Linked DNA regions of Saccharomyces cerevisiae S288C. The protein of the gene in region 1 purifies or fractionates together with the protein of each later gene. This does not show direct contact. Each region holds a gene or a part of one and is shown on either strand. Other genes may lie near its edges.

Evidence for each region.
Region 2: the proteins of PGK1 (region 1) and TDH1 purify together in Saccharomyces cerevisiae (affinity purification with mass spectrometry; 2 studies listed by BioGRID, with this or other methods). This does not show direct contact.

What each region holds. Positions count from the first base shown.
Region 1 is NC_001135.5:134,472-151,985, reverse strand, and holds PGK1 (phosphoglycerate kinase), read right to left. Parts: upstream 14,241-17,514; coding exon 12,990-14,240; downstream 1-12,989. Other genes in the region: SRD1 (Srd1p), read left to right, coding at 3,083-3,748; CWH43 (Cwh43p), read left to right, coding at 4,352-7,213; RNA-binding ribosome assembly factor RBP95, read right to left, coding at 7,480-8,352; CTO1 (Cto1p), read left to right, coding at 9,816-10,769; POL4 (DNA-directed DNA polymerase IV), read left to right, coding at 11,053-12,801; putative ATP-dependent permease ADP1, read left to right, coding at 15,113-17,514. UniProt on the Saccharomyces cerevisiae protein: Catalyzes one of the two ATP producing reactions in the glycolytic pathway via the reversible conversion of 1,3-diphosphoglycerate to 3-phosphoglycerate.
Region 2 is NC_001142.9:336,271-341,930, reverse strand, and holds TDH1 (glyceraldehyde-3-phosphate dehydrogenase (phosphorylating) TDH1), read right to left. Parts: upstream 3,661-5,660; coding exon 2,662-3,660; downstream 1-2,661. Other genes in the region: IRC8 (Irc8p), read right to left, coding at 1-2,144; YJL052C-A (uncharacterized protein), read left to right, coding at 3,928-4,047; retromer subunit PEP8, read right to left, coding at 4,894-5,660. UniProt on the Saccharomyces cerevisiae protein: Glyceraldehyde-3-phosphate dehydrogenase (GAPDH) involved in glycolysis and gluconeogenesis. Catalyzes the reaction of glyceraldehyde-3-phosphate to 1,3 bis-phosphoglycerate.

The DNA.
Region 1 (17,514 bases):
ATACCATCTAACAAGAAAATCATTTGGAATTTTGAGAAAATACAATATCCATAATAAGTACGAGAGATTAATTTTTGTTTTCAGATCAACATTCAAACACGGTTGTTAGGTGGTTGTTTTCTGATGTACTCACATGAGAATCACGTGAATTTTCAGATAGTTGTTGGGATTCCATTATTGATAAAGGCAGTAATATTATGTATACAGAATATACTAGAAGTTCTCCTCGAGGATATAGGAATCCTCAAAATGGAATCTATATTTCTACATACTAATATTACGATTATTCCTCATTCCGTTTTATATGTTTCATTATCCTATTACATTATCAATCCTTGCACTTCAGCTTCCTCTAACTTCGATGACAGCTTCTCATAACTTATGTCATCATCTTAACACCGTATATGATAATATATTGATAATATAACTATAGTTGATAGACGATAGTGGATTTTTATTCCAACAATTCTATATACGTAAAATTATAGCCTTTACCAACAATGGAATCCAACAATTACCAGCTATTCATCAAGTGATCAGAAAATAATATTGAGGTTTTAGTTCACATTTTAGTAACAGTATTTATATTTTTAAGTCACTTATTAAACGTAATTTTTCATAATTAAAGAGCCTTGTTGGCGCAATCGGTAGCGCGTATGACTCTTAATCATAAGGTTAGGGGTTCGAGCCCCCTACAGGGCTTTCTTTTTTCTTGGAAAAAGAAAGAAACTACATTACATGTGCCGCAAGCGCAAGTAACAATGTTTATAGCTTATCTAACGGGGAATGTATTTTAAATTCAAACAACTTGAGTTATTGAAATTATGAGTGAACCTTTCCGTCATACTCATTGCATTGCGCTCAAAATCTGCGAACGTATCGCACCAGCTATCTGAGTATAAAATAATAATACGCTTCATAATATATACTTTTTGGAACAAGTGGCCATTAATAGTGATATAGGATTGCTGTGTAAATGCTAATATCACATATAGATGTACATCTCGTATTACATGTGAATGTGCCTAATGTGGAAGGAAATTTCATACATGCAGTTCAGGTAGTAATGAAACCGATTTAAGATCTATTAATTGAACATTGATATGGTAGTTATACAAGAGTTATATTAATTATCACATTAACTGTATAGTAAGCTCCAAACACACATAATATTGATAATAAATAAGATGAAACAGTTGGCGATGTTTTATATCCCTCGCTTATAGAAGCATGAGAAGATTCATACTTAACCTTCATATTAATAGTACCTCTTCATCTCTAACTATGAATATTATTAAAGTAACTGGGAATGTGAAATTCTGTGATCACAATTTTCCTCTAAAAATGTTTTAATTTCAAAACCACACAAAAAATCCACCTAAATGGTGGGCTTGGTTATTGTCATTATATGGTATCTAGAAGACCTTGTCGTTATGGAGATATTGACGAAAATGGGGATACTGTTGGGATTCTATTTTTGATAACGGAAAAGTGTTGAATATACAGAGAACCCAGGAAGTTTTCCTCCAGGTTATAATATCCTTAAAAGATAACCGGTATTTCCACTTTATGTTATTATTATTTCTTCTCCTCATTTTGTACTTTATCATTAATCATCCTAAAACGTTTTCAATCATTGCGCTTCAGCTTTTATTAAATATAATAAATATTTCACAACTCTATGACATCTTTTTATATTGTATATGATAATGTACAAGTAATATTCATACTACCCAACAAAAAGATAATTGATTTTCTTTCCAATAACTATGTATCCTCTTTGTATAAAATGTTTCTGTAATAAAGAAATTTGCGGTGTAGAACCGACTTTTCTAAATGCATATCTTTATTTTCTCAGAACCTTAATTAGTAAAACTCTAGTGAACAACAAATACTCAAATACTTAAAAGATGATTAAAAATGTGGGCAAAAAAGCTACCGGTAATTGACGACGTCAGTTCCATTATTATTAATGGACAGTTCAAAAAATTTAATAGCGCCGCTCGGTTTCGATCCGAGGACATCAGGGTTATGAGCCCTGCGCGCTTCCACTGCGCCACGGCGCTCAACATTACAATCTCTGATGCTTTCACGTAGATATATGAATAGTTTTATTCTACTATTTTATCCTACTATGATATATATCTAGGGCTTGATGTCTTCACAACAATAAAATTGAATATTGGGTGATATTTTGATAATTTTTGGCATTCCATTGTTGATAAAGGCAGTAATATTATGTATACAGAATATACTAGAAGTTCTTCTCAAGGATATAGGAATTCTCAAAATGGAATCGGTATTTCTACATAATAATATTTTATTATTCTTTTTCATTTTATACGTTTCATTATCCTATTACATTATCAATATTTGCATTTCAGCTTCCATAACAGTTGATGACTGTTTCTCAATCTTTACGTCATCTTTTTACACCGCATGTGATAATATACTAGTAACACGAATACTACTAAAAGATGACATTTTAGAGCTTCAATCCAACAACTTCTCAGTGATGTGGCTTTCGACATTTCATATTTTTTTGTTCGAGTCCTTTTCAATAAGTGATAGTTGATGCTTATTCCAAATATTCAATATAAGCATTTATATCCTTACTACCATATCAACATGTAAATATTGATAGCCACTTATTCCAACAGAATCGGATAAGCGCTATTTTTTTTTATTAAAGCCTTCCCCTCTCTCATCGCCAAGAATTCTATTGTTTCTCCTAGACCCTGCTTTCGCGGCGCGGTATTCCTGTGCCAGCGGTAAGGGTTCAGTCATTGTATTATGTAGAAGTATCGAATGTGACACAAACATACGCCACTAATATGAGAATGCAGGCGCGATAGCTTTGTAATGTTTTTCAGTTGTATCACAGTAAACTAGAGCGGATCCCTAAATAAGTATCATCAAGCTCGATACACAAAACTTTGAAATGAACTTCTTCGACTTTTAGACGCTTGTTCAAACTTTTATCAATGATGTTGTCAATTAAATAGACTTATATTGCTGTTTCATTGTTATCGCTTTGTTAAGAGGTTGCTAGGTAAATAACCAGACATTTACTATTGCTAGTATGCGATATAATAATTATGACAACTCTGGAAGTTCCTTCTTAACTAGAGTAGTTAAAAAGTCAGATATGGAGAAAACGTTATTATTAAATAGAGAAATTGATGACTGGAAGTCAAACGATAAAAAGAAGGCATATAAGGAACGCGGAAGAGTTTATGCAAGTTGCTCATTTATTGAAGTATCCTTTTCTCAAATAAGGGCTGTTGATGTTGAAAAAAAAATTGAGAATGCCGAACAACTAAGAGATCTTACAAGAAATATTGTTAAGAACAAAACCAGCTCTTTGAACGAAATTACACCCTCAAAGAATCGTGTAACTAGTGCATGCAATTCCGAGAGACGTACGACTAGCCAAGAAGCAAACAATCTTGAAGGCTACCATAGTTGTGCACAAGGAACTAGTCGGTCTGCCAGTATTACGAAGAAATACAGCAAAAAGACTACTAGTCGTCCTAAAAGAGAAAAGAGACAAACAATCCTCCCAAATGGTGAGATAAAGGAATGCTCTAAATGTAAAGACACTTGGACAATTCAATGGCGTAGTGGACCCGACCAAAACAGGGAACTTTGTAGTCCCTGTGGACTCGCCTATGGAAAAAGACTGAAGAAGGAGAATGAAAAAAAAAGGCAAGCAGCAGATAAAAGGATAGATCGAAACAATCCATAGTATCTATTTAATTCTTTCACCGCATAGATGATATTTTTCCACTAGGATATTCCACCTTTTTTTTTTCTAATATTGGCACTTCAGTTATAATGTATTTTCTTCGTCTTTGTTCTTATATTGTACTATTATTCATAATATTTATTACGTTTTATATGGAGTTTCTTTTTGATTAATGGCTTCCTGCTAGTATTACTATATGACTATAGCAACAAACTTTGCAGTTAGTTTTGTTGAGATTGTATGCTCAATAAGTTTAAGTGAACTTCTACAAGTTGTACCTCATTTCTCGGTTTTGAAATTAAGTATTCTTGGTTCAGGTTTGCAGTTCTTTTTAATGTTGTTTTTTACAATCAAAGTATGCTCATCGGTATATACAGAAGTGCCAGTTTGGGATTTTTGAGTCCCTGAATATGCGCTTCATGCTTTTTTATTATGTAAAGTTAGTTCGGGTAAGAAGTAGTAACCAAAAAAATCGCAACAATAGATTCTCATTCGCTTTTTGACTTGGTAACTTATAATTTCTCCACAGTATTTGCACCCTTTTAATGTCCGATTTCTCGAGGAATAAGTAACCAGGAATACAGAAGGTATCCACCGCCAGTTATGCTGATCATCAATGGGAAGATCATCCCTATAGCTCATACTATTTGTGCATTCTCCGCCTTCTTTGCAGCTTTGGTCACTGGTTATTCATTACATTTTCATAAAATTGTAACCAATGCACATTATACGTATCCAGATGAGTGGTTTCCTAGTGTATCAGCCACTATCGGGGACCGCTATCCGGAACGTTCTATTTTCCAAATCTTAATAGCTCTAACTGCTTTTCCAAGATTTTTACTGCTACTAGGTCACTACTACTTGAACCAATCTAAGGTATGCTTCCTTGTCGGTGTACTCCGGACAGTCTCTTGCGGTGGTTGGGTATACATTACAAGTACAGATGACCACGATATTCATGATATATTTATGATCACATACATTGTTTTAACGTTACCATGGGATATAATGATTACCCGCTATTCTAGTCCTTTAACTTCGAAGAACAAAGGGTTGACTGCTACAATTTTTTTTGGAACATTGTTCCCGATGATTTACTGGTACATTCAGCACTCCGTCCAACAGAGAGCTGGGGCATATTCTATATATGCTTATTTCGAATGGTCTCTGATTCTTTTAGATATTGCATTTGATGCATTTGCTTACGCTGATTTCAAAAAGATAGATATTGTTCTCGCTTTTAATGAGAAACCCGGTAATACCAGTTTTTTCCAAATTAGAGACTCTAGTCCCATAAATTATGGAGAAGAAAAAAGTTCAGAATTGCAGAAAAGTGGTGAAAAGAAGGTTGAAAAGGAAAAACCCGTTGCTAGAAGCGCAACTGGTTCATATTTCAGGTTTGACTCTTTTTTTTACTTACTAACAAATATTTTTAACGGTTTTCTTTTCTGGTCGAACGTTACGTCCCTGTTATGTAGTATTTGGCATTTCCCGCTATGGTATATGGGAATCTCAGGTTATGAAGCTGCAATATTGGGTTATTTGGGACCCATTTTCTTATATCTGCCGTTCGTTTCTGAAGCCTTCACGCAATATGGTGTACTTTTAGGAGGTATTATTGCCATTGGTGCCTATATTGTTCAGATGCCAGAATTAAGGTTGATTTCTGTAGCTGTGGGAACTTCCATTACCGTTGCAACGTTTGTACAAAATCTAAGATATATCACAAATGCGGAGACTAGTTTCTCTTTTGCTCTAACTTGGCTGTTAGGTCTTGTTGCATCTGTGATCTTGAAAATGGGGTTCTATACCAACAATCCAACTTGGGTCATTTTAGATGAACGTAATGGTGGGTATAATAAGACAGCTCTCGTGCTTACTGTTTTATTCGGCATGCTGTCGCCTTATGTTAATTCAATTAATTTCGAAGGGAAAAGGAATGCTCAAGCAAAATCTGCTTCGTTGATTGGCAAATTATTTTTGGCTGTTGGTTTTGGCTCGTTGTTATTCGGAATTCATCAGTTATTGACGGATTCTTCTACTACTATTTATTGGGCATGGGAAGGTTACAATGAATCACACGGTCCCTTGCCATGGCCTTGGGGCGCCTTAACTTGTACGGTCATGTTATTTGCTTCTTTGAGTTCTGTGAAGTTTATGGGCAAGCCATTAGTTCCATGTTTGTTGCTTCTCATATCCACTGCTGTACTTTCAGCTAGAAGCATTACACAATGGCCTAAATATATTTTCGGTGGTTTATTGTACGCTATCGCTATGCTTTGGTTAGTTCCTTCGTATTTTTCTGCATTAGGCCAAGTTCAAAACATATGGGTTTATGTCCTATCATTCTCCGTTTATATTATCTTTGTCCTTGCCCATGTTTGGGTCGTTGCATACGCATTTGTTCCAATGGGCTGGGTACTGAGGGAGAAGATTGAGACGGTTCTTGCCTTTTCTTCCACATTTATCATTATTGGTGCTTTAACATGCAAAAACCTTAACATTCAACTGGTGACTATGGGCAAAAAATTCTTCATTTATGTTTTCTTCTTTGCCGTGGCCCTGCTATCACTAACAGCTAGGTTCGTGTATGATATTAGACCTACAGGAATTCCTCAGCCTTATCATCCAGATTCTCAGTTGATTACAGCTGGTATTTGGACTATCCACTTTGGTCTCGATAATGATATGTGGGCATCTGAAGACAGAATGATCAACCTTATTAAAGATATGGAACTAGATGTGGTAGGTCTACTAGAAACAGATACACAAAGAATTACCATGGGGAACAGGGATCTAACTAGCAAACTAGCTCATGATTTGAATATGTATGCAGATTTCGGACCAGGTCCAAATAAACATACCTGGGGCTGTGTTCTTCTTTCTAAATTCCCTATCGTAAATTCTACGCATCATTTATTGCCCTCTCCAGTTGGGGAACTTGCGCCAGCCATTCATGCCACACTTCAAACGTACAATGACACTCTCGTTGACGTCTTTGTATTCCATAGTGGACAAGAAGAGGATGAAGAGGATAGAAGACTGCAAAGTAACTACATGGCTAAGCTCATGGGCAATACGACTCGCCCAGCTATTTTATTAAGTTACTTAGTTGTTGATCCAGGTGAAGGCAACTACAATACGTACGTTAGTGAAACATCCGGAATGCACGACATTGATCCTTCTGACGATGATAGATGGTGTGAGTATATCTTGTATAGGGGCTTGAGAAGAACAGGATATGCTAGAGTTGCAAGAGGAACGATAACCGATACGGAGCTACAAGTTGGTAAGTTCCAAGTTTTGAGTGAGCAAGCGTTAGTAGAGCACTCGGATTCTATGTATGAATACGGTCATATGAGTGAACCGGAATATGAGGACATGAAATTTCCAGATAAGTTTTTAGGCGAAGGTGAGAGGGGTCACTTCTACCATGTTTTTGATGAGCCACGTTATTACTTATAAGAGGCCGTAAGGTGGTTTTATAAATCAGTGTAATCACATTGTGTGTACTGAAAATCTTGATAACTTAAGGTAAGTTATGTATCCACCTGATTTTTTTGACCTCGAATTTTAAAAATTTATGTGATTTCTTTATGTATGTTACTTAGACGATCTTGTTATAGTTTTGTAAGAAATTATACTTCCTGAAACGATTTATCCCGCTACTTTTTGAGCGTATTTCACAGTAAAATATATACTACAACTGAACAACGTTGTTGAACTCTATGTTAAACATCAACGAAGAAATTCTTAAGTTCTATCTGCTCCGAGTCATCATTCTTCCAAATTTCTAGTAATTTCAGACTTCTTTGAACAAGCTCTTTATTCGGCATTTGTACTTCCTCTTGCTCGTCTTGTACCTCTTTTTGCTTCCCTTGTTCGGCATTACCGTCTTTTTCACCTTCTTCTTTTTCTTCACCATTAATTGGTTCGCTAGCCTTATCCTCTGCAATTAACGCTTTTATTTTTGTTTCTTGATCTTCCACATAGTCGTTCCATTGCTTCAGTTTTCCTTTGCATTTTGATATTAGTTCTTCTTTTGATTTACCTTGTAAGTCCCTGAAATATAAAAGCAAAAGATCATTATATACTGAGGGGATTTCGTCCAAGTTGAAAAAATGCTTAATAAGCCAATTTTGCTTTTGCTTGGAAAATTTCCAAACTTCAACAACACCAGACTCTGATGGCTCGTCTTTGATCAGGGAGTCGCCGTAATTTTCTTTTACACTTTCCAATTCTAGGATTCCGGTGGGAAACTTGCTCTCAGACTTTGTCCTGAAAAATTCTATCAGGTAACGTAATTGATCTTTAAGAATTTTATTTTTTTTCGAATTCTTTTCATCCTTTGACAATTTTTCCTTCTTCTTCGTCCCTGGTTTCGACACACGCTTCCCTTTTTTGGTAGAGGATTTGCTCTCACCATTAATGATTCTTTTTTTCTCTTTCTTTGTCAAATTACCAGTGGATAAATGCGTAGTGATATTTAGTGGATCATCATCTATTAGATTGGATTGGCCTTTTTCTTTACTTTCGTCACCACTGCTTATAGTCTGTCTCTTCAAAGCAATTCTTTTCCAGGCAGGAACGTGATTTTCGGACATTTAATTGTGAAGTGAATGTTTCTTCTGCTTGTAATTTGTCGATAAAGAAAGCACTTATGACAGTACTTTGATATTTGAATTTAGCTCATCTCTTTTCGTTCCTTTTTCTCGCTCGAAAATTTTCAATAATTTGCAGTAAAAAGGCGATGCCAGTAAAAAACTACCTGCAAAGGGAGCGTTAGACATATCTTTTATTGGCGACAAATATTTTTAGCGATATATATCCGTAAAGATCTGGCGATATTCTTTATCACTCGATGATAATAAATTCTTTTACACTTTGCTATTTTCCATGAGAACGGTTGGTATTCCTGTTCCCAATAACAAAAGCGTTTGCATATTTTTATGGTGAAGGTACTATCAACTGTAAAGTATGTACAATAGATTTATTAAAGGGAAACACTTTTCGTAGTAAGAAAAGCAGGTTTATAATTCAATTGTTTTAAAGCTGAATAATGCCGTGGTGTTAAACTACGACCGAGCTATAGCAACAGCATCGGCCACACACTCTCTCTTATTCTTATGTTAATAGTCGACCTTTCAAGGATGTTCTTGTTGGAATAGAAATCCACTATCGTCTATCAACTAATAGTTATATTATCAATATATTATCATATACGGTGTTAAGATGATGACATAAGTTATGAGAAGCTGTCATCGAAGTTAGAGGAAGCTGAAGTGCAAGGATTGATAATGTAATAGGATAATGAAACATATAAAATAGAAGAAGGGATAATCGTAATATTAGTATGTAGAAATATGGATTCCATTTTGAGGATTCCTCTATCCTTGAAGAGAACTCCTAGTATATTCCGTATACATAATATTGTTGCTTTTCTCGAATCATGTATCAAGATTACTAGCGCAAGTGGTTTAGTGGTAAAATCCAACGTTGCCATCGTTGGGCCCCCGGTTCGATTCCGGGCTTGCGCATCTTTTTTACTTTATATACTATTTTTTTTTTTTTTCTTTTTCCCAAATTTTTTCATGAAAAATTTGGCGGAACGGTACATAAGAATAGAAGAGATTCGTTATGAAAATTTTCTACTCTCTTTCACATTTTTTTTTTCATAAGAATTAAAAAAATAAGCTTAATGCCCTCTTTGTACGATGGTGTCACTCTAAAATTATTTACGTAATTTAATTGGATGTGATATCAAGCACTAGTTTTGTTTGGAGGAGCAGAGATTGAAAGCCTAGCTTTTACACCGGTTTGAGTCGGTTCCTTCGTTTTCTTAGTTGGAATTGATATAGAAGTGTGTGGACAATCGATTTGCAAAACTTTTTATTTTATGTATTACTACTGAGCTTGTTTATCTGTATACTTTTTTCTTATTATTATGTAGTTAGAGGTTAGTTCTTATCGTTTTCTTTAAAAGCGACCTTTCTTCGCACAAAGCAATGTTGACAATCGAGCCAATGCATTTAACAATTGCAGTAACCAGAAGCGAACAGTGGAGGATATGAAAACCATTATTATTTCAGATTTTGATGAAACAATCACAAGAGTTGACACAATCTGCACCATTGCTAAATTACCGTATCTACTGAACCCGCGGTTGAAACCTGAGTGGGGTCATTTTACCAAGACATATATGGACGGATACCATAAATACAAATACAATGGAACGAGATCACTGCCGTTGTTATCTTCAGGCGTACCTACGATAATTTCGCAGTCTAACTTCAATAAGTTGTTTGCGGACGAATTAAAATATCAAAATCATAACAGGGTTGTTGAGTTAAATAGTGTAAATGAAATTACAAAACAACAGATTTTTAAGTCGATTTCTTTGGATCAAATGAAAACGTTCGCCAGAGATCAGAATCACGAAGATTGTTTACTAAGAGATGGTTTCAAAACGTTTTGCTCTTCAGTTGTCAAAAATTTTGAAAGTGATTTTTACGTTTTATCTATAAATTGGTCAAAAGAGTTTATTCATGAAGTCATTGGTGACAGAAGACTTAAAAATAGTCATATTTTTTGTAACGATCTAAAAAAAGTTAGTGACAAGTGTTCTCAAAGCTACAATGGTGAATTTGATTGTCGGTTATTGACAGGCTCTGATAAGGTCAAGATACTGGGTGAAATATTAGATAAGATCGACTCAGGTTGCAATAAAGAAGGAAATTCTTGCAGCTATTGGTATATAGGGGATAGTGAGACTGACTTGTTGTCCATATTACATCCATCTACTAATGGTGTACTGCTAATAAACCCGCAAGAAAATCCTTCCAAATTCATAAAAATTACCGAAAAGATTATTGGTATCCCAAAGGATAAAATCTCGAGTTTTGAAGCTGATAATGGTCCAGCGTGGTTACAGTTTTGTGAAAAGGAAGGCGGTAAAGGTGCCTACCTTGTGAAATCCTGGGACTCTTTAAAAGATTTGATCATGCAGGTAACAAAAATGTAGAAACGGATGAAATCCTGTATATTCAAATTTATATAACCAGGACGTTGCAGTGCTAATAATAATGGAATACCGCTAATTTTCCTCCTGTTTTTTCTTTTTTAAGTAAAGATAAAATAGTATTTCACTTGCACTATTCTTCTATCTCCGTAATCGGTCTCGGTCTAAAATTACTTTGAGATGTTCAAATACATGGGGCTAATAATTTTAAGGGCTTGCAAAGAACTTATATGTCACAGTGATAATAAGTAAAGGATAAACATGCGACCTGTTAGACAAATCGCACATGTCTCTAAAGGGTAAATTTTTCGCCTTTTTACCTAATCCTAACACATCTTCCAATAAGTTCTTTAAGAGTATATTGGAGAAAAAGGGCGCCACAATTGTGTCAAGTATTCAAAATTGTCTTCAATCTAGCCGTAAGGAAGTGGTCATTTTGATTGAGGACTCCTTTGTTGATTCTGATATGCATTTGACTCAGAAAGATATTTTCCAAAGGGAAGCAGGCTTAAATGATGTCGATGAATTTCTTGGTAAGATTGAACAGTCAGGCATTCAATGTGTGAAAACCAGTTGCATCACAAAGTGGGTCCAGAATGATAAATTTGCGTTTCAAAAAGATGATTTGATTAAATTTCAACCATCCATTATCGTTATATCAGATAACGCTGATGACGGACAAAGTTCTACTGATAAAGAGAGTGAGATTTCAACTGACGTAGAAAGTGAAAGGAATGATGACAGCAACAATAAAGATATGATACAAGCTTCAAAACCTCTTAAGCGACTCTTACAGGGGGATAAAGGAAGAGCTTCCCTTGTTACTGACAAAACGAAGTACAAAAACAATGAATTGATTATCGGAGCGTTGAAAAGGTTAACAAAAAAATATGAGATCGAAGGTGAGAAATTTCGTGCAAGAAGTTATAGACTGGCTAAACAGTCGATGGAAAATTGCGATTTCAATGTTCGTTCCGGTGAAGAAGCACATACTAAATTAAGGAATATCGGGCCTAGTATTGCCAAAAAAATACAAGTTATATTAGATACGGGAGTTTTACCAGGTTTAAATGATTCAGTGGGATTAGAAGACAAGTTGAAATACTTCAAAAATTGTTACGGCATTGGGTCGGAAATTGCTAAACGCTGGAATCTTCTAAATTTTGAAAGCTTTTGTGTTGCAGCTAAGAAGGACCCAGAGGAGTTTGTATCAGATTGGACAATTTTATTTGGTTGGTCATATTACGACGATTGGTTATGCAAGATGTCTCGGAATGAATGTTTCACACATTTAAAGAAGGTTCAAAAAGCGCTGCGTGGCATTGATCCTGAATGCCAAGTCGAATTACAGGGAAGTTATAATAGGGGCTATTCCAAGTGTGGTGACATTGATCTTTTATTTTTCAAGCCGTTTTGTAATGACACGACCGAGTTGGCAAAAATCATGGAAACGCTTTGTATTAAGTTGTACAAGGATGGCTATATCCATTGTTTTTTACAGCTAACGCCAAACTTGGAAAAGCTATTCTTAAAAAGAATAGTGGAGAGATTTCGTACAGCGAAGATTGTTGGGTATGGAGAAAGAAAGAGGTGGTATTCTTCTGAGATAATCAAGAAATTTTTCATGGGAGTCAAATTGTCTCCAAGAGAATTAGAAGAACTGAAAGAAATGAAAAATGATGAAGGCACATTGTTAATTGAAGAAGAAGAAGAAGAAGAAACAAAATTAAAACCGATTGACCAATATATGTCTCTGAATGCCAAGGATGGAAATTATTGCAGAAGATTAGACTTTTTTTGTTGCAAGTGGGATGAGCTTGGAGCAGGAAGAATACACTATACTGGATCTAAAGAGTACAATAGATGGATAAGAATATTGGCAGCGCAAAAAGGCTTCAAGCTTACACAACACGGTTTATTTCGAAATAATATCCTTCTCGAAAGCTTTAACGAACGCAGAATTTTCGAGTTATTAAACTTAAAATACGCTGAACCCGAACATAGAAATATCGAATGGGAAAAAAAAACTGCATAAAGGCATTAAAAGAGGAGCGAATTTTTTTTTAATAAAAATCTTAATAATCATTAAAAGATAAATAATAGTCTATATATACGTATATAAATAAAAAATATTCAAAAAATAAAATAAACTATTATTTTAGCGTAAAGGATGGGGAAAGAGAAAAGAAAAAAATTGATCTATCGATTTCAATTCAATTCAATTTATTTCTTTTCGGATAAGAAAGCAACACCTGGCAATTCCTTACCTTCCAATAATTCCAAAGAAGCACCACCACCAGTAGAGACATGGGAGATCTTGTCAGTGACACCGTACTTCTTAGCGACAGTGGCAGTGTCACCACCACCAATGATGACGGTGTTACCAGCAGCAGAGCTCTTGACAACTTCGTCTAACAAAGCCTTAGTACCAGCAGCGAACTTTTCGAATTCGAAAACACCTGGTGGACCGTTCCAGACAATGGTCTTAGCCTTTGCAACAGTAGCAGCAAACAACTTTCTAGATTCTGGACCATTGTCCAACCCTTGCCAGCCAGCTGGAATACCTTCCTTGTCAGTGACAGTCTTGGTGTTGGCATCAGCAGAGAAAGCATCAGCAATGATGAAGTCGACTGGCAAGACGACTTCGACACCCTTGGCCTTGGCCTTTTCCATCAACTTTGGAACGATTTCAGCACCAGCCTTGTCGAAGATGGAGTCACCGATTTCAGTGTTTTCCAAAACCTTCTTGAAGGTGAAAGCCATACCACCACCAATGATGATAGAGTCGACCTTGTCCAACAAGTTGTCAATCAATTGAATCTTGTCAGCAACCTTGGCACCACCTAAGATGGCCAAGAATGGTCTGGTTGGGTTCTCCAAAGCCTTACCGAAGTACTTCAATTCCTTTTCCAACAAGAAACCGGCAGCACGTTGTGGCAAGTCGAAACCGACCATAGAAGAGTGAGCTCTGTGAGCGGTACCGAAGGCATCGTTGATGTAAACATCAGCCAAAGAGCTCAATTCGTGTCTGAACTTTTGAACATCTTCCTTGGAAGCCTTGACCTTTTGACCATCGACCTTTCTGGAACCTTCTTCTTCGATGTGGTAACGCAAGTTTTCCAACAAAATAACGGAACCTGGGGCAGAAGCCTTGACAGCGGCTTCAACTTCTGGACCGACACAGTCGTTCAAGAAGGTGACATCCTTACCCAACAATGATTGCAATTCCTTAGCAACTGGAGCCAAAGAGTATTTTTCGTTTCTTTCACCGTTTGGTCTACCCAAGTGAGAAGCCAAGACAACGTATCTTGGGTGGTGTTCCAAAACGTACTTGATGGTTGGCAAAGCAGCAACAATTCTTTGGTTAGAAGTGATCTTCTTACCGTCCAATGGGACGTTGAAGTCAACTCTGATGAAGACACGCTTGTCCTTCAAGTCCAAATCTTGGACAGACAACTTTGAAGATAAAGACATTGTTTTATATTTGTTGTAAAAAGTAGATAATTACTTCCTTGATGATCTGTAAAAAAGAGAAAAAGAAAGCATCTAAGAACTTGAAAAACTACGAATTAGAAAAGACCAAATATGTATTTCTTGCATTGACCAATTTATGCAAGTTTATATATATGTAAATGTAAGTTTCACGAGGTTCTACTAAACTAAACCACCCCCTTGGTTAGAAGAAAAGAGTGTGTGAGAACAGGCTGTTGTTGTCACACGATTCGGACAATTCTGTTTGAAAGAGAGAGAGTAACAGTACGATCGAACGAACTTTGCTCTGGAGATCACAGTGGGCATCATAGCATGTGGTACTAAACCCTTTCCCGCCATTCCAGAACCTTCGATTGCTTGTTACAAAACCTGTGAGCCGTCGCTAGGACCTTGTTGTGTGACGAAATTGGAAGCTGCAATCAATAGGAAGACAGGAAGTCGAGCGTGTCTGGGTTTTTTCAGTTTTGTTCTTTTTGCAAACAAATCACGAGCGACGGTAATTTCTTTCTCGATAAGAGGCCACGTGCTTTATGAGGGTAACATCAATTCAAGAAGGAGGGAAACACTTCCTTTTTCTGGCCCTGATAATAGTATGAGGGTGAAGCCAAAATAAAGGATTCGCGCCCAAATCGGCATCTTTAAATGCAGGTATGCGATAGTTCCTCACTCTTTCCTTACTCACGAGTAATTCTTGCAAATGCCTATTATGCAGATGTTATAATATCTGTGCGTCTTGAGTTGAAGTCAGGAATCTAAAATAAAAATTAAGGTTAATAAAAAGAGGAAAGAAAAAAAAATTAATCGATTTACAGAAACTTGCACACTAAAAATACACAACTAAAAGCAATTACAGTATGGGAAGTCATCGACGTTATCTCTACTATAGTATATTATCATTTCTATTATTATCCTGCTCAGTGGTACTTGCAAAACAAGATAAGACCCCATTCTTTGAAGGTACTTCTTCGAAAAATTCGCGTCTAACTGCACAAGATAAGGGCAATGATACATGCCCGCCATGTTTTAATTGTATGCTACCTATTTTTGAATGCAAACAGTTTTCTGAATGCAATTCGTACACTGGTAGATGTGAGTGTATAGAAGGGTTTGCAGGTGATGATTGCTCTCTGCCCCTCTGTGGCGGTCTATCACCGGATGAAAGCGGTAATAAGGATCGTCCCATAAGAGCACAAAATGACACCTGTCATTGTGATAACGGATGGGGAGGGATCAATTGTGACGTTTGTCAAGAAGATTTTGTCTGTGATGCGTTCATGCCTGATCCTAGTATTAAGGGGACATGTTATAAGAATGGTATGATTGTAGATAAAGTATTTTCAGGTTGTAATGTGACCAATGAGAAAATTCTACAGATTTTGAACGGCAAAATACCACAAATTACATTTGCCTGTGATAAACCTAATCAAGAATGTAATTTTCAGTTTTGGATAGATCAGTTAGAAAGCTTCTATTGTGGCTTAAGTGATTGTGCCTTTGAATACGACTTGGAACAGAATACCTCCCATTATAAGTGTAATGACGTTCAATGCAAATGCGTTCCCGACACTGTGTTGTGTGGTGCTAAGGGGTCTATAGATATCTCGGATTTCCTGACAGAGACAATAAAAGGGCCAGGAGATTTCAGCTGTGATTTAGAAACAAGGCAATGTAAATTCAGTGAGCCTTCTATGAATGATTTGATATTGACCGTGTTTGGTGACCCTTATATTACTTTGAAGTGTGAATCCGGTGAATGTGTTCATTATAGTGAGATTCCAGGTTACAAATCTCCTTCAAAAGATCCAACAGTGTCATGGCAAGGGAAATTGGTGTTGGCATTGACTGCTGTGATGGTCCTGGCACTTTTTACATTTGCTACCTTTTACATTTCTAAATCTCCGTTATTCAGAAATGGATTGGGTTCCTCAAAGTCTCCCATTCGTTTGCCAGATGAAGATGCGGTGAATAATTTCTTACAAAATGAAGATGACACACTGGCGACATTAAGTTTTGAAAATATCACTTATAGTGTCCCCTCGATAAATTCAGATGGTGTTGAAGAAACTGTGCTGAATGAAATAAGTGGTATCGTGAAGCCCGGCCAAATATTAGCTATCATGGGTGGATCTGGTGCGGGTAAAACTACTTTATTAGATATCCTAGCAATGAAACGGAAAACAGGTCACGTTTCGGGTTCCATAAAAGTTAACGGTATTAGTATGGACCGTAAATCTTTCTCGAAAATAATCGGGTTCGTCGATCAAGATGACTTTTTGCTGCCCACTTTGACTGTTTTTGAAACCGTATTAAATAGTGCGCTGTTAAGATTGCCAAAAGCATTGTCATTCGAGGCCAAGAAGGCAAGAGTTTATAAGGTGTTGGAAGAACTAAGAATTATTGATATCAAAGATCGTATTATTGGTAATGAATTTGATCGTGGTATTAGTGGAGGTGAAAAACGCCGAGTTTCCATTGCATGTGAATTAGTGACATCTCCATTGGTTTTATTTTTGGATGAACCTACATCTGGTTTAGATGCTAGTAATGCCAATAATGTTATTGAATGTTTGGTAAGGTTATCCAGCGACTATAACAGGACATTGGTGCTATCTATTCATCAGCCAAGATCAAATATATTTTATTTATTCGATAAATTGGTCCTGTTAAGTAAAGGTGAGATGGTCTATTCCGGAAATGCCAAAAAAGTGTCAGAATTTTTGAGAAATGAGGGATATATCTGTCCGGACAACTATAATATTGCTGATTATTTGATTGATATTACTTTTGAAGCCGGTCCTCAGGGGAAAAGGAGAAGAATCAGAAACATTTCCGATTTAGAAGCTGGTACGGATACTAACGATATTGATAATACGATACACCAAACAACATTTACTAGCAGTGATGGTACAACACAGAGAGAGTGGGCTCATCTTGCAGCTCATAGAGATGAGATCAGATCTTTACTCAGAGATGAAGAAGATGTAGAGGGAACAGATGGAAGGCGAGGTGCTACTGAGATTGACTTAAATACCAAACTACTACACGATAAATATAAAGATAGCGTCTATTATGCAGAGCTTTCACAGGAGATCGAGGAAGTTTTAAGCGAAGGTGATGAGGAAAGTAACGTTTTGAATGGAGATTTACCCACAGGTCAACAATCTGCTGGTTTTCTGCAACAGTTATCGATATTGAATTCAAGAAGTTTTAAAAACATGTACAGAAACCCTAAACTATTATTGGGTAATTATTTACT
Region 2 (5,660 bases), on another chromosome or scaffold:
CGACGAGAATTTCCCGAGGTTGATTTTGTAGGTGAATGACTGCTTTGCAAAGTACGTACGTAGCTAAAATCAATACTCTGGTTTTTATTGTGACCATGGCCAAACGAGTAGTTTATCGGATCTGTTGTACTACCCTCATATGGCGACATTGTATCAGAGATATTTGATAATGACAATTTCTTTCCAAATCTCATTCTCAACGACTTGGTTGGAGATGAATGCGGTGAGGTGTTGGACATCATATTAGAAGAAGAACCCTGTAATAGCTGATTTATTTGAGAATTGTTTCTTGAATGACCCGTAAAAAAGTTGCTTAGGGTGCTGTGTGAATGTTGGTGCTTGACACTTCCTGATCCACTGATCATGGAAATTATCGATTTGGTTGGTGAATGCCTTGTACTAAATCTACTCATATCCTTTGGGCCATTGTCAATAGTAGTTGAGGATAGGTTGTTTTGGTTCAAACTGCTTTCAATCAGCTGACTTGCATCCTCTTCTTGAATGCTGGGATCATGTAAATACTCATCTAGTTCGCTAATAGTATCTGAAGTTTTAAACTCCTGTTGGTTAAATTGGTCTGATGTAGCAATTTGTAATCCTGCACTTTTAAAGGGAAAGCTGAAGTTGTTTTGGGCATGCAGTTCAACTTCCAATTCGGTGGATGTACTTGGATCCATATCACTTTCAGAGGTGAATCTGAAAGGGGGTAGTAATTTGCTTTTATCCCGGTTTGTGGTTACTTTTTGAAGTATTTTCTCCTGATCCTTTTCCCACATCTCTAAAGTGACACGGGCTGGCAAATCCACGTGTTTGGTATATTGTTGTTCGAAATCGTCTTCTATATCAGATGATATCCTTGGGACTTGTGGAATGTCTTGTAGTTCATTAGTCATTAAGATATCACCTACATAGAAATCATCGTCAACTTCCACCTGGGGTATCAATGGTGTTGCTTGGTATGAGTCCTCATTTTGAGTGCTTTGCTGTGGGGATATCATTTTATCTGTTACTCTCAAACATGCAGGAAGTAAGGCACTATTAATTCTCCCAATAGCTTCTCTTTCTAACTCCAAGTTTGGAGAATCAATAGTATGCGAATCATGGGGAGTTTTGTATTTCAAAGTATTATTTCCTTCGTTAATTATTATTGAAACTCTTCCTTCACTTGGTGTTCTCGCAGTGGAAGTCGAATTCCCGTTTTTTTCGTTTAATGCTAAGAAATTCAGGAAACTTTTCGAGATGTCAGATATGGTTGATAGTCTGGATACATACTGGCTACTTCGGTGGTTGCTTTTCTTTTCTGTCGGAACCTTAGTAGCTTGTTGTGTATTTCTTTTGTATCGATTTTCTTTAGGACCCAAAAAGAAACTGTTATATTTTTTCAATTTAGAAAAATGCGAATGAGATGGCTTTTTAGGACACTTGCTGGTGCTAATCGGTCCTAATTTGTGTCGAATAACTGAAGAGTTTGAATTTTCATCGGATGATATGGTTTTGTTTGCGTTTGTGTTTGAATTTGTGGAGAGTTCATTAATCAGCCACGCTACCCCATTCATACTCTTGGGACTACCGTGTAATAATTCCAAATCTGGTGTTAAGGTCTGTGAAGAGTTCTTAAGGGGTACAAATCTACCATTTTCCACCGCATTTGCTTCTTTGTCATATTGATCCGTACTAATATTGTTAGATGAGCTGCCGAAATTGTTCGCATTGCCATCCTTCAGGAAGAATCCTAATTGTATGCCATTAATGAAAAGTGTGAAAATTAACAAAGAATCCAGAGTTGTTATATAGACTCTGTGAGACTCGCTTTGTACCGATATTGGGCTCCTCAAGGTATTATGAAAATAGTCCACTGTGCAGCCCATGGTGATCAGTGGCAATGCAAAATTAAGAACGTTGTAAAAGTATCCAATATGAAACTTGCTAGGCGCAAAAACAGTCTCTGTGATAAACGATATCAGTGACGGTATTCCATATAACAATGTCGAGCATACAATAACTATCAGTACCGCTTCGTGGTCGTGGAACTTGCATAGCAATGCGATAGCAATGGCACCTGTGGCAATTGAGAGAAGAGCACTTCCGAACTTGATCCCCAAAAAACCAGCCTTATTTCCGCTCCTAACAGAATTATGGCACATAAGAGAGTATGATTCCTTTCTTAGTATATATATACTGCTCAAGGGCAAATGCAATTACTTTGGAAATGCTTTCTTGTTCTGATACGTAAGAAGACAAGTAATCTCTGGACTAAAAGTGGAGCCGGAATAGAGACTCTCTTAGTATCAGTATCCACCTCTTCAAAGGATAATGCGTTCTTTGCCAATAGTCACATATTGTGGGTATGTGCGTTTTGCAAAGGCAGCAATATATTGTTTACTTATTTCCCAAAAAGGAAAAATCTTTAAACCATCCTAGAACTTCAATTCACCACGTTCAGGGTAATATATTTTAACCGCCGACGTTCTCGCCATAACTTTTAAACAGTGATAACTAGTATTGAAACTTAGAAGAGAAAAGGGTAAAGTTAATGCTTAATCTTGTCTTGGCTTAAAAAGTAATATGTACTTATTTACGTCTTCACAAAATCTAGCAGAAAAACGGTAGTATTTATGTATATTCAAAAAAAAATCATTATCCTCATCAAGATTGCTTTATTTAAGCCTTGGCAACATATTCGATCAAGTCAACAACTCTGGCGGAGTAACCGTATTCGTTATCGTACCAGGAAATCAACTTGACGAACTTTGGAGACAATTGGATACCAGCGGAGGCATCGAAGATGGAAGCGTGAGTGTCACCCAAGAAATCAGAGGAGACAACGGCATCTTCGGTGTAACCCAAAACACCCTTCATTGGACCTTCAGCGGCAGCCTTAACAGCCTTCTTGATTTGGTCGTAAGTAGCTTCCTTTTCCAACTTGACAGTCAAGTCAACAACGGAAACATCGACGGTTGGGACTCTGAAAGCCATACCGGTCAACTTACCTTGCAATTCTGGCAAGACCTTACCGACAGCCTTAGCAGCACCGGTAGAGGATGGGATAATGTTACCGGAAGCGGTTCTACCACCTCTCCAGTCCTTGTGGGATGGACCATCAACAGTCTTTTGAGTGGCGGTCATGGAGTGAACAGTGGTCATCAAACCTTCTTCAATACCGAAAGCATCGTTGATAACCTTGGCCAATGGAGCCAAACAGTTGGTGGTACAAGAAGCGTTGGAGACAATCTTCTTGTCTGGAGTGTATTTAGTGTGGTTAACACCAACAACAAACATTGGAGCAGAAGAAGATGGAGCAGTGATGACAACCTTCTTGGCACCAGCGTCAATGTGCTTTTGAGCGGTGTCCAATTCCTTGAAAACACCAGTGGAGTCAACAGCGACATCGATCTTTAGAGAACCCCATGGCAAGTTAGCTGGGTCTCTTTCTTGGTAGGTAGCGATCTTGACACCATCAATGATGATGTGCTTGTCGTCATGGGAAACAGTACCCTTGTATCTACCATGAGTAGAATCGTACTTGACCATGTAAGCAGCATAATCGTTAGAGATAAATGGATCGTTGACAGCAACAACCTCAATGTCTTTTCTTTGCAAAGCCAATCTCAAGACCAATCTACCGATTCTACCGAAACCGTTAATAGCAATTCTGATCATTTTGTTTTGTGTGTAAATTTAGTGAAGTACTGTTTTTTGTGTGTGTTGGTGAAATATCAAACCAAGTTCTTGATGAATTTCTTATTTATGCAAGAGAGAGAATAGAACTGTACTACAAATCTCATTGTGTGAAAATATATTGTCTATTTATATGATTTCGAGACTCCAGTTTTGGTCATTATCACCAAGCTCTTACTGCTACAGAGAATGAACATGCTCCTCCCCCCCTTCTTCAGACTATGTTGTTCTGCACGTGGATACCGTCGCATGCACCTAAGAAGCAGATGGTGGCTTGCCTTACTGTATTGTAAAGATCCAGTCTCCAGATCTGCGACCACTCCGAAGGTTGAAACCCGAGCTTCCTGTTTGCTGTCTCGCGCCTTTTAAAAAAAAAGCGCGATTATGGGCCGCTCGTGACAGTAAAGGAAGCAAGCAGATCGACCCCCTGAAAATGTGGTGTGGTTACTAAGCAGAAGCGTCTTCGTCGCATATCCTATTCCTAGCGCAACAAGGCCCCACGGTGTGGTTTCATGTGACGTGGAGTCATGTAGGCTTGTGGTGCGCACATTTTTACTAAGCTCAACAACCCTACTGGCGCTGCTGGAAGTGAATGGCGAGTAGATACTATCAAGTGTTGGCTGGTGGGACATATCAGCAACTAATGGATAGAATAAATTGGATCAGAAGCTCAGCCCAACTTATCCTCCATATGGTGATATAGAGTGTAAATGAGCATATACATTCGTTTCTTTTTCTCCTCCCATTAGTCTGGCCCTTTAGCATACAAGTCAACTGTAGTTTTCAGAAGCGGGCTTTTCTTGGTTTTTGTTATGTTACCTGTGAGAAACTAATCCATCGAGAAATTTACTCATTTTTTTTTTTACTCCAAGCTGCTTTTACTTAGCTAAACATAAAAAAAGATATTTCTTATGCATTAACTTGAAGAAAAATTGTTCCCTTGGACAACGCTGTGCTTTTCCGAAGCACTGTAAAAGGGAAGAAAACCATATGCTATTCCTCCTTTCGTAGAGAAAAAAAGTTTTAGCACTTGAGCTTCTTACTATATCGTATTTTACCTCTTGCTTGTTTAGTTCGTTATAACTTACGCAAAAGTCTTCTACTGAAATCTAGATATTGTTATGTATAACACTATAATGCCAAACGAAAAGTTAAATATCGAGATGTTGAAAGAACAGAGAACCACATCTTCACCTTATTTAAGGTCGAGCTTTTCTACCGGGTCCTGTACAATGTTATTTCTGATTGTTTAAAATATCTTCTGCCATCTTCATCGATAATAACCAAGCTCAAATAATTCTTGACGTTAAAGTAGTTGCAGCTCATATTGGGCGTCAGGTCATAGCCGCTCAAGAATAATCTTATGGGTATGGTTTCACCTTTCACTGAAGACCCATCCATTATTTCGTATCGGATAGCAGTGGAATCTGTCATTACATTAGAAGTTTGTAGGCCGGAAGATTCTCTTGTGATCAAGCTTAATTCCATATGTTTTATCCTTAGTCTCGTTAAAAGGAAATATATACGCCCCACAATGACTTCTTTTAAGCTGTACTGGGATTTGGCATATTCAAACTCAATGTGAAGGCAATTTTCTATACCTATATCCAATCTAACAGGCTTGGGCTCATTATTTGAATGTGATATCGGCAAAACTTGATTAACGTCTGCCGCCTCACCCTGGGTGCTCTTTGTTTGCGTGTTGTCACTCGCATTATCTGCAGCATAGTTACCACCAGCGATGTCATTAGTGGTTGCCTTTGTCTCATTTGCGGAAAGGGTATTTGGCGCAGTAGTTACACTATTATAAAGATAGACCCAAAATCTTTTTATTTTCGAGATGTCTGTGGACTTCCTCATAACTGTTACCTTAACATAGTAAGCTACATCCACATTTTTGCCTTTATAAGATTCGTATCTTTTACTCAAATCTCTGAATAGGAATGGGAAACTTTGAGAATGTTGTAATTCACCAGCAGGAC